2 linked regions of the Kluyveromyces lactis genome follow. The protein of the gene in region 2 interacts with the protein of the main gene of each other region in a biochemical or structural test. Links are inferred from orthologs where the notes say so. Each region holds a gene or a part of one and is shown on either strand. Other genes may lie near its edges. The genes, in order: RAP1 and TAF4.

Evidence for each region.
Region 1: the proteins of TAF4 (region 2) and RAP1 form a complex in vitro, tested with the Saccharomyces cerevisiae proteins (2 studies listed by BioGRID, with this or other methods). The link is inferred for Kluyveromyces lactis from reciprocal best matches to the Saccharomyces cerevisiae genes TAF4 and RAP1.

The regions. Positions count from the first base shown.
Region 1 is NC_006040.1:1,619,504-1,626,474, forward strand, and holds RAP1 (DNA-binding transcription factor RAP1), read right to left. Parts: upstream 3,874-6,971; coding exon 1,873-3,873; downstream 1-1,872. Other genes in the region: GTPase-activating protein GYP7, read left to right, coding at 1-1,719; PPN2 (putative serine/threonine-protein phosphatase), read right to left, coding at 4,473-5,405. UniProt on the Saccharomyces cerevisiae protein: Essential regulatory protein in yeast whose DNA-binding sites are found at three types of chromosomal elements: promoters, silencers, and telomeres.
Region 2 is NC_006039.1:525,305-531,637, forward strand, and holds TAF4 (Taf4p), read right to left. Parts: upstream 3,013-6,333; coding exon 1,912-3,012; downstream 1-1,911. Other genes in the region: PLB3 (lysophospholipase), read left to right, coding at 1-1,386; RCL1 (rRNA-processing endoribonuclease), read left to right, coding at 3,602-4,696; MVP1 (Mvp1p), read right to left, coding at 4,865-6,333. UniProt on the Saccharomyces cerevisiae protein: Functions as a component of the DNA-binding general transcription factor complex TFIID. Binding of TFIID to a promoter (with or without TATA element) is the initial step in pre-initiation complex (PIC) formation.

The sequences.
Region 1 (6,971 bases), on a different chromosome or scaffold from region 2:
CAATCTTTGGTTGATTTACAAAAAGTAGATTCATCACAATGCATATATCTCGTCAATGCATCTCTAGACGATTTGCGCAATTTTTCGTTGAACAATTTCCAAAGACCTCAATCCGGTTCATCTTCCAAAGATGATGGTAATATATGGGACAGCCTTGAAGCAACGAGATGGTCAATTATGTCCAAATTTGCGGACGCAACAACGACGGCATCTAATCTATTCGGAAAACTAGTAAAGAAACATCCAATAGTTCAAATGATTGACAAGCACAGTGACAATGTGTACGTTAAACAATTGATGAAAAATCCAAGGGTCGTAGAAGTCCAAGATGAATTTGATAGTGCCAAAATATATCTAGCAAAATGGGCAATGGGTGTGAAACAAGAGGCTGAGCGTTATCAAAAGGAACACTATTTGGATGACACGTATAAGAGAATTTTGAGAAATGAATTAGGAATTTCAAACGATGTGGAAATATCACCCGAGGAATTGAATATAGCTGTACAGAGGTCATTTCCCTTAACGAAGCAGAAATGGGACTCTTTGTTTGACTCGCAAGGTAGGCTTTCTATAACTGTGCATGAGGTCAAAGATTTTATCTTCCATGGCGGGGTCGAAAATGACGCATTGAGAAGCGAAGTGTGGCTATTTCTTTTGGGAGTTTATCCTTGGGACTCTTCTTTACAAGAGCGTAAAGAGCTAAAGCAGGCCATGGAGGAGGATTACAATGCAAATTACAAGTCGAAATGGATTTACAGAGATGTGCTTGATGATTCAGAAGAAGAAGAATATTGGAAAGACCAAGTATTCCGAATTTCGAAAGATGTGCTTAGAAATGATCGTGATATTCCTCTATATAGGCACAATACTAAAGATGGAAAGGAAGATGGTGCTAAAAATGAAGAAGCACCAAATAAAGGAGACCAGGAAGAAGAGTGGGAAATCAAAAACCCTCATCTCCAAGCCTTGAAAAATATTCTCATTAGCTACAATATCTACAATCCAAATCTTGGATATGTTCAGGGAATGACCGATTTACTCTCTCTGATATACTTTGTACTTCAAGATGAGGCACTTTCCTTCTGGTGTTTTGTCAATTTCATGAATAGGATGGAAAGAAATTTTTTGAGAGATCAATCTGGTATCAGAGATCAAATGCTAACTCTTGTTGACCTTTGTCAGTTTATGTTACCAAAGTTTGCGGAACATTTGAAAAAGTGCGAATCAGCTGATCTATTTTTCTGTTTCAGAATGTTACTCGTATGGTTCAAAAGAGAGTTTGAGTTTAGTGATGTTTGTAAAATATGGGAAATATTTTGGACTGATTATTACAGTTCACAGTTCCAACTTTTCTTCATGTTGGCAATATTACAAAAACACAGCGATGTCGTCGTTTCTCAATTAACAGAGTTTGACGACGTGTTAAAATATTTCAATGATTTGAGAAACAGCATGGATTGGTCTGATATCATGATAAGAAGCGAACTTCTTTTTATAAAGTTTCAGAAAATGATTGAAGTTCTCGAAAGAGAGGAAGAACTAATAAGCAAGAGGACTACAAGTACAGGGTATAATGGACATGAAATACCGCTCACGAGCGAAGCGGAAGATCCCCCGTTACATCATCCATCGCTTATAAGTGAAAATTTGAAAGAATTATTATCAAAAGAACTTGTGATACAAAAGGAAGGGCCCCGCAGCAAGGACTCAATAAAATAGTACATTATGTTTCTGCTCATAAATATGATCGATACATTACATATAAAGTATGATAATTTCATGTCAAAGACTGACAACTGCGACCAAAATCGGTATATTATAATGAAAGTAGGGAAATGTTAGTTACCTAAGTGAGACAACAAGAGTGTTTATTCACACTAGATTGTTCTCTTGGAACCTTATCCTCATTTGCATTCTAGCAATACCATGTTTCTTTTCTAGCATCTTCATTCCATCTGGATTCTTTGATCTTAAGATCACATCATCCTCCTTCGTCCATATACCGGGGACATTTTGCGGAAGATGTACTCCATATTTGAATGATGTCAGAATGTATCTTGGAAACAATGAGATATCACCAGTTAAAGCAGTTAGGACAGATGTAGCGTATTTCTTTCTGATACCGCACTCAACGTCAAGATCATGAACAAGGACATCTGCTTGTGACTCATCATATTCCCTAGTAATAATCTCTTCCAACTTTTGTATGAACTCCTTGGTAGATCTGAAATTGAAAAAGGTATGATCAAAGAAATCATCATTATCAGCGAGCTTGGGTGGGAAAGGTATTGAATCAAAATCATAGTTATCATACTCTTCATGTTCCAAAGCCACTTGATGACGAATTCTTTCCGCGACATCATCAGCATACAATGAACGTGCTTGCTCTTCTTGTTGTGTTTCAGCTGCGTGCAAATCACGCCTAATACCATCTATTAGATCGAATGCATCTGATTCTAAGAAGAAATCATTCAAACTGGTATCTGTTGATTGCTGAGTACCACCTTCGGTAGATCTCTTACTCTTTTTTAGGGTCGTATTATAGTTTCCGGGTGATGGTCCTTCTCTCTTGGGTCTGTTGGTCATATTTTTGATAGACTCAGGTTCTATACCTTCTTCCATGCATTTCTCATAGTATGAAATGTATGAATCAATACCATAAGGCAGAATAAATTTACGGAAACGATCCCTCCATGCATTTTCTGAATGGGTTGGTACTTCAAGTGCGAATAATTTGAAAAATTCACGAGACAATGGTCCTCGGCGGTCATTTACAGTATACTTTTCGAAAGAAGGTACTTCTGATGGATCAATTTCTGTATTCATAACTAATTGTCGTTTCGCGACAATGTTAGGTTCATCATCTTCAGCGATCAAGCTTGCTCCTGTATCAGGGTCTCTTTGAAAAGCATCTCTGTAAAACTGTTTTTTCACAGCAACCGCCAAATTATAATCTTCTTCACTTGTAAATTTCCTCTTTAATCCATTCGGTAGAATGTCTGTTTTGATTAGATTTCCATCCTGGTCCCTTACCAATTTACCATCTTCATCGACTTGATAAACGAATTCTAATCTCTTCGATAAATAGACTCTAAATCTATGTCTGATAGAATTCCCAGTATGATTAGGGACATAATGTGAGATTTCATCGTATAATGTGTGTGTGGTTCTCTTAGTGGGGTTCTTCCTGACAACATCAAGGATGAATTCATCCTCTTCTTTAGTGAATGAGGATTTATTATGACTTGAACTTGCTTGCTCATGTAAAATAAGATCATTGGCATCATCTACATCTGTGTGGGTCAATTGTTGCTGTTGGTCATGAGAAGCTATTTCGTCATCCTTGGAAGACATTTTCACTTCTGGGGACGAATCAGAATCCATTTCTCTCTGGCCCCGAGTATTCTCGGAATCAATCGACTCGTTGATCCCTGTTGCTATCTTGACTGCAGCTCTTGTTACGTCAGAGCCAGGAAGATCGGATAGCTGACTACCAATGTTATATTCATCAGAGATGGAGTTAGAATCGAACCGAACAAACCCGGAAGACTCAGGTTTACCCAAGTAATCATGGACGTTTAAAAGTGTACCTGCATCAATACAATCTAAAATGTAAGATGGATGCACAAATATTCTATAGTCCTCATCATACCTCTTGGAAACAAAATATGCTGCTTCCCATTCTCTCGAACTCTTCTCTGGAGCCTCTATTAAGACTGCCCCACCGTTATTGCGAACTGCATTGCCCAAAGCTTCCATGTCGTTGATCAAAGGGTCAATGAAAAACGAGACTCCATCAAAAACACCTACATCTTCTTTTATTTGAACCGATGGGGAATCCAAGGCTGTGTCAAAATCATCTGCATGTGACATCTTCCTTCGTTGGTTTTGTATTGCTAAATGAGTAAAGGGTATACGTGGATTCGCCAATGTAGAGACAGCTTCTCTCTTTAACGCATTCGACTCAAGTCAAGTGAATAATATTATCTAAACAGTCAGGCGGCAGTTTCCCGTTGATTGTTACCTTATTTTAACTGAACCAAACGATAGAAATATAACCAATGAGCAAACAATGAAAGGTAGCACAATGAACAAAACAAGACCCGCGGTGCTGTAAATATCTTTACTCTGAGTGAACTTGCTTTGTCTCTCACTTTTGTAGCTGACGCAACTCTTAACTACTTCGCGTGTGCGTTAAAGACTTGTTTTGGTTACGTTTGTTTACACTGAATTCCGGATTTCCTAAATGTCGTGTTTGTTCGTAATCTCTGGGTGCTGGCCAGCCATCCTTTGTTTTTTTTTTTTGAATGCTTCCTCAAATTCAATTATTGATGCTTTATCATCACAGAGGAAAAGATGCAACATTCATTTAGTTCGAGTCAGGGTAACACATCGATAAACTCTTTCTATATGTAGTCTTTATATATGTATGGGCACATAATGTGCGTGTATCTGAGATATTGTGGGTACTTTCAGTCTTGACAAGAGATTTGATGCATAATGTGGTTGTATTCTTTCGTCTTATGGTTCCAAACGTATTCAAGAGCAGTCAATTTGTTACCATTGTAGCAAGCAGAATCCAAACCTTTTGTGTTTGGACGAATATTTAGACCTTTAGAAGAATCATGGCCATAAATCACTTTAATCTTATTGTGTATCGAATATTTCTTCTTATCTAAAGGGTTCCAAAGATGATACCATCGTGTAGCGTTCTCGAATTTTTGTCTTGTAGTATGAGAGTGATCATTTACGTCGACGTATTTCATATCGGTAATTTCTTTCAATGGAGGATTTCCTAAATGATCTGGAAGAACACCGGCATGAACTGCTACAAGAGTGAAATTGTCGTATAGTGGATCCTGTAACTCCCACATAGCTCCACACTTAGCTGCCAATCGAGCAAGATTGTCCCAACCCAATTCTCTTGCTAAACGGCGATGATTCTTGTTGATGGATGGTAAGTCTGGCAGGAAGTCTTCTGAGGAGAATTTGATTTTGATCAATTTCCTTTTAGTTAATGATATAGGGTTTAACAATGCATACAAAATTCTCAATTCGTTGTTGCCAAGAACACATTTCACGTCATAACCTACATCATCGTTTAATATTATTTGTTCCACAAGTCGGTTTGAATTTGGTCCCTTTGAAATAAAATCACCCAAAAAAACCACAGTGGTATTAGAATCTGGTTTCACTTTGTCTTCCATCAACTGCTCATATTTATGATACATCCCATGCACATCACCAACAAAAACTAGTCTTTCGTACGAATGCTTGATGTCGGCATGTCTTTTGGTTTGGATCACTGGGAATTCTCTATAATCATCGGACTTTAAAAACACCCATGTAACGTAAAGCATGAACAAAAATGTTCCCGATGCTGTCAGAATTTGTGCCAATTTCATGAAAGTATGCTTGTGAATCGTTATTGAAAACGTAATAATCTCTTACTATCACTGTGAATATGTGGTCAAGTAAGTATTCAGCACGATATTTATGCTCTACCTCACTCTCGACTTATGAAATTTCTCTTTCTTTTCACGTCTAACACCGACCCAGCTCAAACTATATCGCAAAATTTCAAGCTCAAGCGCATACCCTGCGTTCTTGCTTGATACAAGCATTATTTCAACATTATTTCACCCTTCCACCTGTTCTTTCATATACTTCAAAAGTCATCGGCAGTTACAAAAACATTCGGGTGCTTTTCGTAAGGTATCTCCGGACTAGGTTTAAAAAACCCACTTGGGAGGGAAGCTTACAAAGCTGAGCCGTAGGAAAAAACCGACTGGTTAGATGCAGGCGCAGAGCAAAAAAAAAAAAGATTCCATGGCTGAGGCTGGGTAATCTTAAACTGCAGTAAGAGAATAATTTGACTGGTCATGTGATGACAGATAAAGAAAACATGTTAACAGGATTCCGTGAGAATCGAACGGATGCATTTGATTACTTATCTGTTTAACACTGATGACAGACAGGTACCATTCAGAGTACTTAAACGAACTATTAGGCAGGATGCTTGAAGTTTCTTAGAACTGATACGAATCAACAGCAAGTTTACTGGTGAGCACTGAAGTTAGGGTTTTCTTTCATTTTTAATGTTATGGAATATTTTAGATTTAATAATTATAAATCTTATTTTTTTACCGCGATCTTATATCACGTAACAACTTAAAGTTTCTTTCATTAAAAGGATAGATTCTTCAAACAATTTCTATCCAGAGACTTTATAATGAGACACTGTTGGACCAATATTGCTTGCAAGCAGCAAACTTTATTGATGATCAGTCAGTGGTAAACTCCATAGTAACAAAACAAAAAAATTATGAAATAGGCTGTATACAGACGTGTATTTAAGACGATGTTGATGCTCTCCCAGAAATCAACGTAGCAGCGCTTTCGGATCTTTGATATGCAGTGGGAAGCGTTGACGATTTTCATGCATCTTTCTATCAGAAAAACTTGGCTGAACCGAACATTTTAATAGTTAAAAGGAGATACAGACACCATCGACGGTATATATATATATATGCATTCCGAATCAGAAGTGGTTGATAAAATTAATCTACAAAACCCCCGTACAGAGGATTCATAATCAGCAGATTGCAAATCTAATATCACAAACAATGAAAATGCTCAAACATCCGATAGAATATGCAACAGTGATCTGTTTTTTTTGGGAAATGTGAGAAGAATCTTCCATTTGCACCTATAGCGACTATCAGTGAGACCCTCTCATTGAAAGAAGAATGCTATTAACAGAGAAAAGTAAATAAATATAGAGCATTTCAATAGACTAGACGTAGCATTCGTTGAAACGGTGTATTAGCAGCAGCAGCAAGTAGCACACAACATTGCCATAAATCCTGCGGAGTGGTATTGTTATCATATCTCAACAAAGTGTCGTTGTCAAAATTCCAAGAACAGCTTATATGGGTTCCATTTGTGTCTCGAGGAACACTTTGATTGTA
Region 2 (6,333 bases):
ATTTGGGATATTAGTAATTCTATCGTCAATCCTGGCGGTATCAACATTTTTTCCAGTATTTCTCGTTGGGATGACATCTCAGACGCAGTGGAAGAGAAAAAAAAAGCCGGCTTCAACACATCTATAACTGATGTATGGGGCCGCGCCCTATCTTACAATTTCTTCCCATCATTGGACGAAGGTGGTGTGGGTTATACGTGGAATACCTTGAGAGATGTTGATGTTTTTAAAAATGGTGAAATGCCTTTCCCTATTTCAGTAGCTGTTGGTAGATATCCCGGTACTCAGGTTGTCAATTTGAATGCAACTGTCTTTGAATTTAATCCATTTGAAATGGGCTCCTGGGATTACACCTTACATACTTTCACCGATGTTAGATATGCTGGTACCAATGTTACTAATGGTACTCCAAACGTAACAGGAAAATGTGTTGCAGGCTTCGATAATACAGGTTTTGTTATGGGTACGTCCTCCTCCTTGTTTAACCAATTTTTATTACAACTTAACACTACTGATTTGCCATCTTTCTTGTACAACTTACTTCACGGATTCTTGACTGATGCTTCTGATGATTACGATGACATCTCGATTTGGGCACCAAACCCGTTCTACGAAATCACGAACATACCTTCTAATTATTCCCAATCCATCAGTGAAGATGATACATTGTATTTAGTGGATGGTGGTGAAGATGGGCAAAATATCCCATTGACACCATTGCTGCAAACTGAGCGGGAAATCGATGTTATCTTTGCTTTGGATAACAGTGCAGACACGGATCAATCTTGGCCTGACGGATTTTCATTGACTCAGACTTACGCTCGTCAATTTGGTCTGCAAGGGAAAGGCATTGCCTTCCCTTATGTTCCAGATGTGAACACTTTCACCAATCTTGGATTAAATACAAGACCTACCTTCTTTGGGTGCGATGCAAGAAATTTGACTGATCTAGAATCAATTCCACCTTTAGTAGTTTATATGCCAAACACAAGGGAGTCCTTCAACAGTAACACATCTACGTTTAAAATGTCGTACTCCACTTCCGAAAGGTTTAAGATGATCCAAAACGGTTTCGAAGCTGTCACCATGAAAAATCTCACTAAAGATGAGAACTTTATGGGGTGTATCTCATGCGCCATATTGAGACGGAAACAAGAATCACTAAATTATACACTTCCATCTGAATGTGATGCTTGTTTCGAAAAATACTGCTGGAATGGAACTGTCGATGCCACCACCCCTATCTCAAGCACTACATCCTCCTCTGCAAGTTCCACCTCAACATCTGATTCCGGCAATAAAGAAAATAGTGCCAGAATTTTGGCCCCAAGAAGTACGCTATCTTTGTTGATTGGAGGTTTAGCTAGTGTCTTCATCTCTTTCTAGTTTACCCATGAGTATCAAACTAAAACCAAAAAAATATATATGCATTGAGTTTTCAGATGTTCATGCAGATTCGTTCTTATGAATTCGTCATTGTACCTCCTTCGTTTCCAATTTCTCTAGATGATCTCCTTTGACCAATGACCAAATCATTGACAAGACTGGAGTATATAAAAGTATCTTGATATGATTCGTTAAAAAGTAATATAATAGATACAAACGATAAATGGTACCGAATTGCGTCGATCATTAGTGTACTTATTAAAGCGTCGTGTGAAGTAATGGTTTAATAAACTCTATTTTTTTTAAACTTTATTTGTCTCTGACGTGATTTTGAGTATTTAGATACTAAAAAATGAAAACTATCTTTAAATATTAAATATGCGACATGTCAGGTAGAAAAGGAAAAGTAATCTCGCATGCAAGTATGAGTCTCTATGTTATTTATCGAAAGGTTTATATTATATAAGTATGCATACTACAGAACATCTCGGAAACTCATATTATTCCTCAAAGTAACTGGAAATGCTAGTCTCTGATTCTAGCATATCCTTTAGTGATAACATTATTAACTCCTACTCGCCTATTTTCTAAAGCTAAAAGAAGGTCCCTCATAACGATGCCAGGTTCTTCTCTTGCTTCTCTATATTTGATACCCATTTCACCCCTTGCTGCAACAGCAGATGAAACATTTCCCTGATTTTTTAGGTCTGTCGAGCTGGACTTGGATCCAGCGGTCAACCAACTATATTTTTTTTTGTTACCCCCTGCAATCATCAAATTGGCAGTTGCATTTGATGCACGATATTGAGTCTCTTCAGTATCTAACCTAGCATCCGTTGTTTGTTTTTCTAAACCGAGTGCTATTCTTCTCTGTACTCTTCTTTCTTCTTGAGTCTTTTGTCTTAATGCTAAATCCCTCAAAGAACGACTCACTTCACTCCTCCTTCCCGTGTTTAGTTTAACACCTTTCCGTCTATGTATGGATAGGATTAAAGAGTTCGTTATCACGTCCCTCATGTAAAGTTCACATGCAGTAGACATTAATCCGAGTATATCAGTGTTTTTATTGAAATCTTGATGAAAGTTTTGTTCTGATGCAATTCTTTTCATGAAATCTGAAATGTTCTTAGGATGTAGGAATGGAGGATGAGATGGGACCTGGTTATTTGCTGAAATACCGGTTGCTTTTGTTCTAGCAACTGTGCTACTTAGCAATGCCTCTTCCTCTCTTATATCAACACCGGCCGATAACAAAGCATCACTAAGCTTGTCTGGATCACTTTGCTGTGGTTTTGTAGTTGAGGCAGTCGTACTACCTGTTGAACCCCCGGCATTCTTCTTCTGTTCTGCTTTCTGTGATTGTTTGCTTGTCGTACTCGTCGTCTTCAAATTTGGCGTACTTGAGTTTCGCGGAGATGCTAGGTTTGTAGTTGGAGATGATGCTTTAGGTAGAGCTAATGGCTGTTCTGTAACCATAGTATCGAATGGCGTAGGCAGATCACTGCCAAAATCTGAGCCACTGGGTTCCAGCCCGTTCTCTACTTTGCCAAATTCGAATGATTTGGAACGTTTATTTGAAGATAAATCTTCCGGTTCAGAATTCTTTCTCTTGGGCGATTTTGCCATCGTATTTTATACTAATTAGACCAATAGTGATAGTTTTCTCTGGTGAAACACGGGGGTAAAAAGAATCGTATTGGATACTTGAGGACACCTATTGCACTTGTCCCAAAAATGCAGGCAAATAAACTATGAAAAGAATAAGTCAATCTTTAAAAACAGGTCCAAATGCGGCCTATCAATTAAAATCCAGTTTCAGCGAAAAACGTACAACCTTAATGATTTCAACAAAGATAAAAAAACGTGCGAGTATTAAACATTATGCTAAAAAGTTCTATCTAGTTCCTACCTCTTTCTTCATTTAGATGCTATTGTTTGCTGGCTTTGATTTTTTCAAGATTGAAAGATCACATAATCCGGGTAACGAAGCTCATTTCTTTTCCTTGCAAAAAATTTGTCAAAAGCGTATCTCATCTCATCTCATCGCCTAACTGAACATACAACACAAAACCAATATCGAAAGGTTTCAGTTAACTTCCATCAACCATTCCATTAGCGTCCGATAGAAGGTCACTTTCTGTATTAAAAACTCTAAAGAGATTTATCAGGAAATTTATTCCTCACGAAGTAGGACAGACAAACAGACAAATTGGACATGTCATCCTCTTCCAGATACGTAACCTTTGAAGGTTCACGGAACTTTCGTTTACGAGTAGTAATGGCTACATTGTCAGGAAAAGCTATAAAGATAGAAAAGATACGTTCTGATGACCTAAATCCGGGTTTAAAAGATTACGAAGTCTCTTTTCTAAGATTGATGGAAGCGGTAACGAATGGTAGTTCAATAGAAATTTCATACACTGGTACCACCGTCATCTTCAGACCAGGAATAATTACTGGTGGTTCATACACACATCAATGTCCGAACAGTAAACCTGTGGGCTATTTTGCCGAGCCAATGTTGTATTTAGCCCCCTTCTCAAAGAAGAAATTCTCAATCCTATTCCGTGGTATAACATCTTCACATAATGATGCTGGAATAGATGCGATAAAATGGGGGTTGATGCCGATTATGGAAAAATTTGGCGTCAGGGAATGTGCATTACATACTTTGAAGAGAGGTTCACCTCCTTTAGGTGGTGGTGAAGTACACCTTGTTGTGGATTCATTGATTGCACAACCGATTACAATGCACGCCTTGGATAAAACAATGATTTCAAGTATAAGAGGTGTTTCATACTCCACAAGAGTCAGTCCCTCCCTTGTAAATAGAATGATTGATGGTGCGAAAAAAGTTCTTAAATCTGCTAGTTGTGAAGTAAATATAACTGCAGATGTATGGAGAGGTGAAAACTCAGGTAAAAGTCCAGGTTGGGGTCTAACGCTCGTAGCAGAGAACAAACAAGGATGGAGAATCTTTTCTGAAGCTATCGGTGACGCTGGGGATGTTCCAGAAGATATTGGTGCATCCGTAGCCTATCATCTACTTGAAGAAATAAGCAAAAGTGGAGTTGTTGGAAGAAACCAGTTGCCACTTACAATTTTATACATGATCATCGGTAAAGAAGATATCGGAAGACTCAGAATCACTAAGGATCAAATAGATGAAAGATTTGTATGGCTCTTACGGGATATCAAGAAAGTTTTCGGTACAGAAATACTCTTGAAGCCAGTGGATGATAACACTACGGATCTAATCGCAACAATCAAGGGTATTGGATTCACAAACACCAATAAGAAAATCGCATAATTGACATTACATATCATTTTATCTGACAAAATGACTCCCATAAGTATTCATATATAAAATTTATATGCATATGTGTCAACACAAATTCCTTCGCGTAGCACTTATTATTATCGTATCAAACAATTCCATAAAGCTTGGAACATTCAAGATAAATATTGTAGGATAGTTTTAGTGTCTTTGCAGGGGCATATCGCGGAGCTTTTTGCAAATTTTTTCCCAATTGTCAACATTGTTATTAGTGTATCTCAAATTTATTTCAATCCACCTCTGGAAGCAATCTGTAATCAAGAATTGAGTTTCATGGAATATTGTGAATTCCTCCAATATACACTCCCTGATCAACCAGCTTCGGTTCATTTGATCGAGTATGCTTCTTTTATCTCTGGAGATGCTCTGTTTTACACGATCATATTCTGCTCCTTTCACATCAGGGTTGCTTTCCAAAGTGTTCAATCTTTCTTGATTTATTTCTACCCTTCTTTGTAACTGAGGAATATTGTTACCTGCCATCATCTTATATCTCTCAAACAATCCTTTCAACGCTATAATAACGTCAATGAAAGCCTTGAATCTAACCGAGAGGCCACTGTCGACTTCCTCGTTTTCTCTTTCTATGACATCTGCACATGAATTCAAATGCTCTACTATCAAACCAACACCTTCGTTTATTTGAGAAACTGTTGCAGTGGATTGTGGATACAATGCTTCCGTTGTGTCTGGAATAGCATTAAGGATTTGTCCTAATAATTTTCTTTCATGGGCAACTTGTTTCATCCTTTTCTCGTATCTTTCTATTAAAACAGTAACTTTAACCCATGTATCCAATGCAATATCAATTCTTTCGTCTGCTTTATTCCATTGTTCGGAAAATTCCTTCCTCCATAAATTCATGAATGAAGAAGATATATGCTTATCAGTAAATTCATCTGTTGTATCGTAATGCGCTTGTTTTCTCCAGCCCGAAAGATCTGTTGGAACGGTCAAAAATGTGAGAACCAAGTCATCACTTCTCAAGACAGGATGTTTCATAACCAAATTGATGAAACGGCTCAAGCCTTTCCTTCTTTTCGCCAAAAATAAAGGGTCTGCGTTCTGAGAGCCGATCTTTTTTGGAGGTAGTTCTGGGACCATTCTAAATGGGTATTTTCTTAGTAATACATCTTGTAGCCAATCAAAATCAGAATACCTTCTCACCACTGTTCTATCATCCGAGGGATCCGTGTTTGGCAAAGGTGTGAGATGCTTGACCAAATAATTAGTGTGCTTGAACACTAGCCCTTCCCTTTCAGGAATTTCTTCTACACTAACGATATCTTCTGCTAGTGGGAAATATGTCTTTCTTACGGACTCAACCCAGTTCTTATACTCGTCGTTTGCAGCATACTGCGGTGTGTCGGTAGCCTGAAAACGATTCACGCCTCGAATATCTGTCTCTTGTGTAGTACTTCCAATGTTTGGACGGTCCCATAAAACATCATTTTGATATACGTTGGAAGCGGTACCCCTAACAATGTTATCACCATTACTGAATATGTTCACTCCAAGATAATCGTCATTCACACGTTTGTTTGCTTCTTGCTGTAGTGAATCAGCTGAGTATGATTTTAAAGCATTAACAGATGAATTATCAGGTTCCC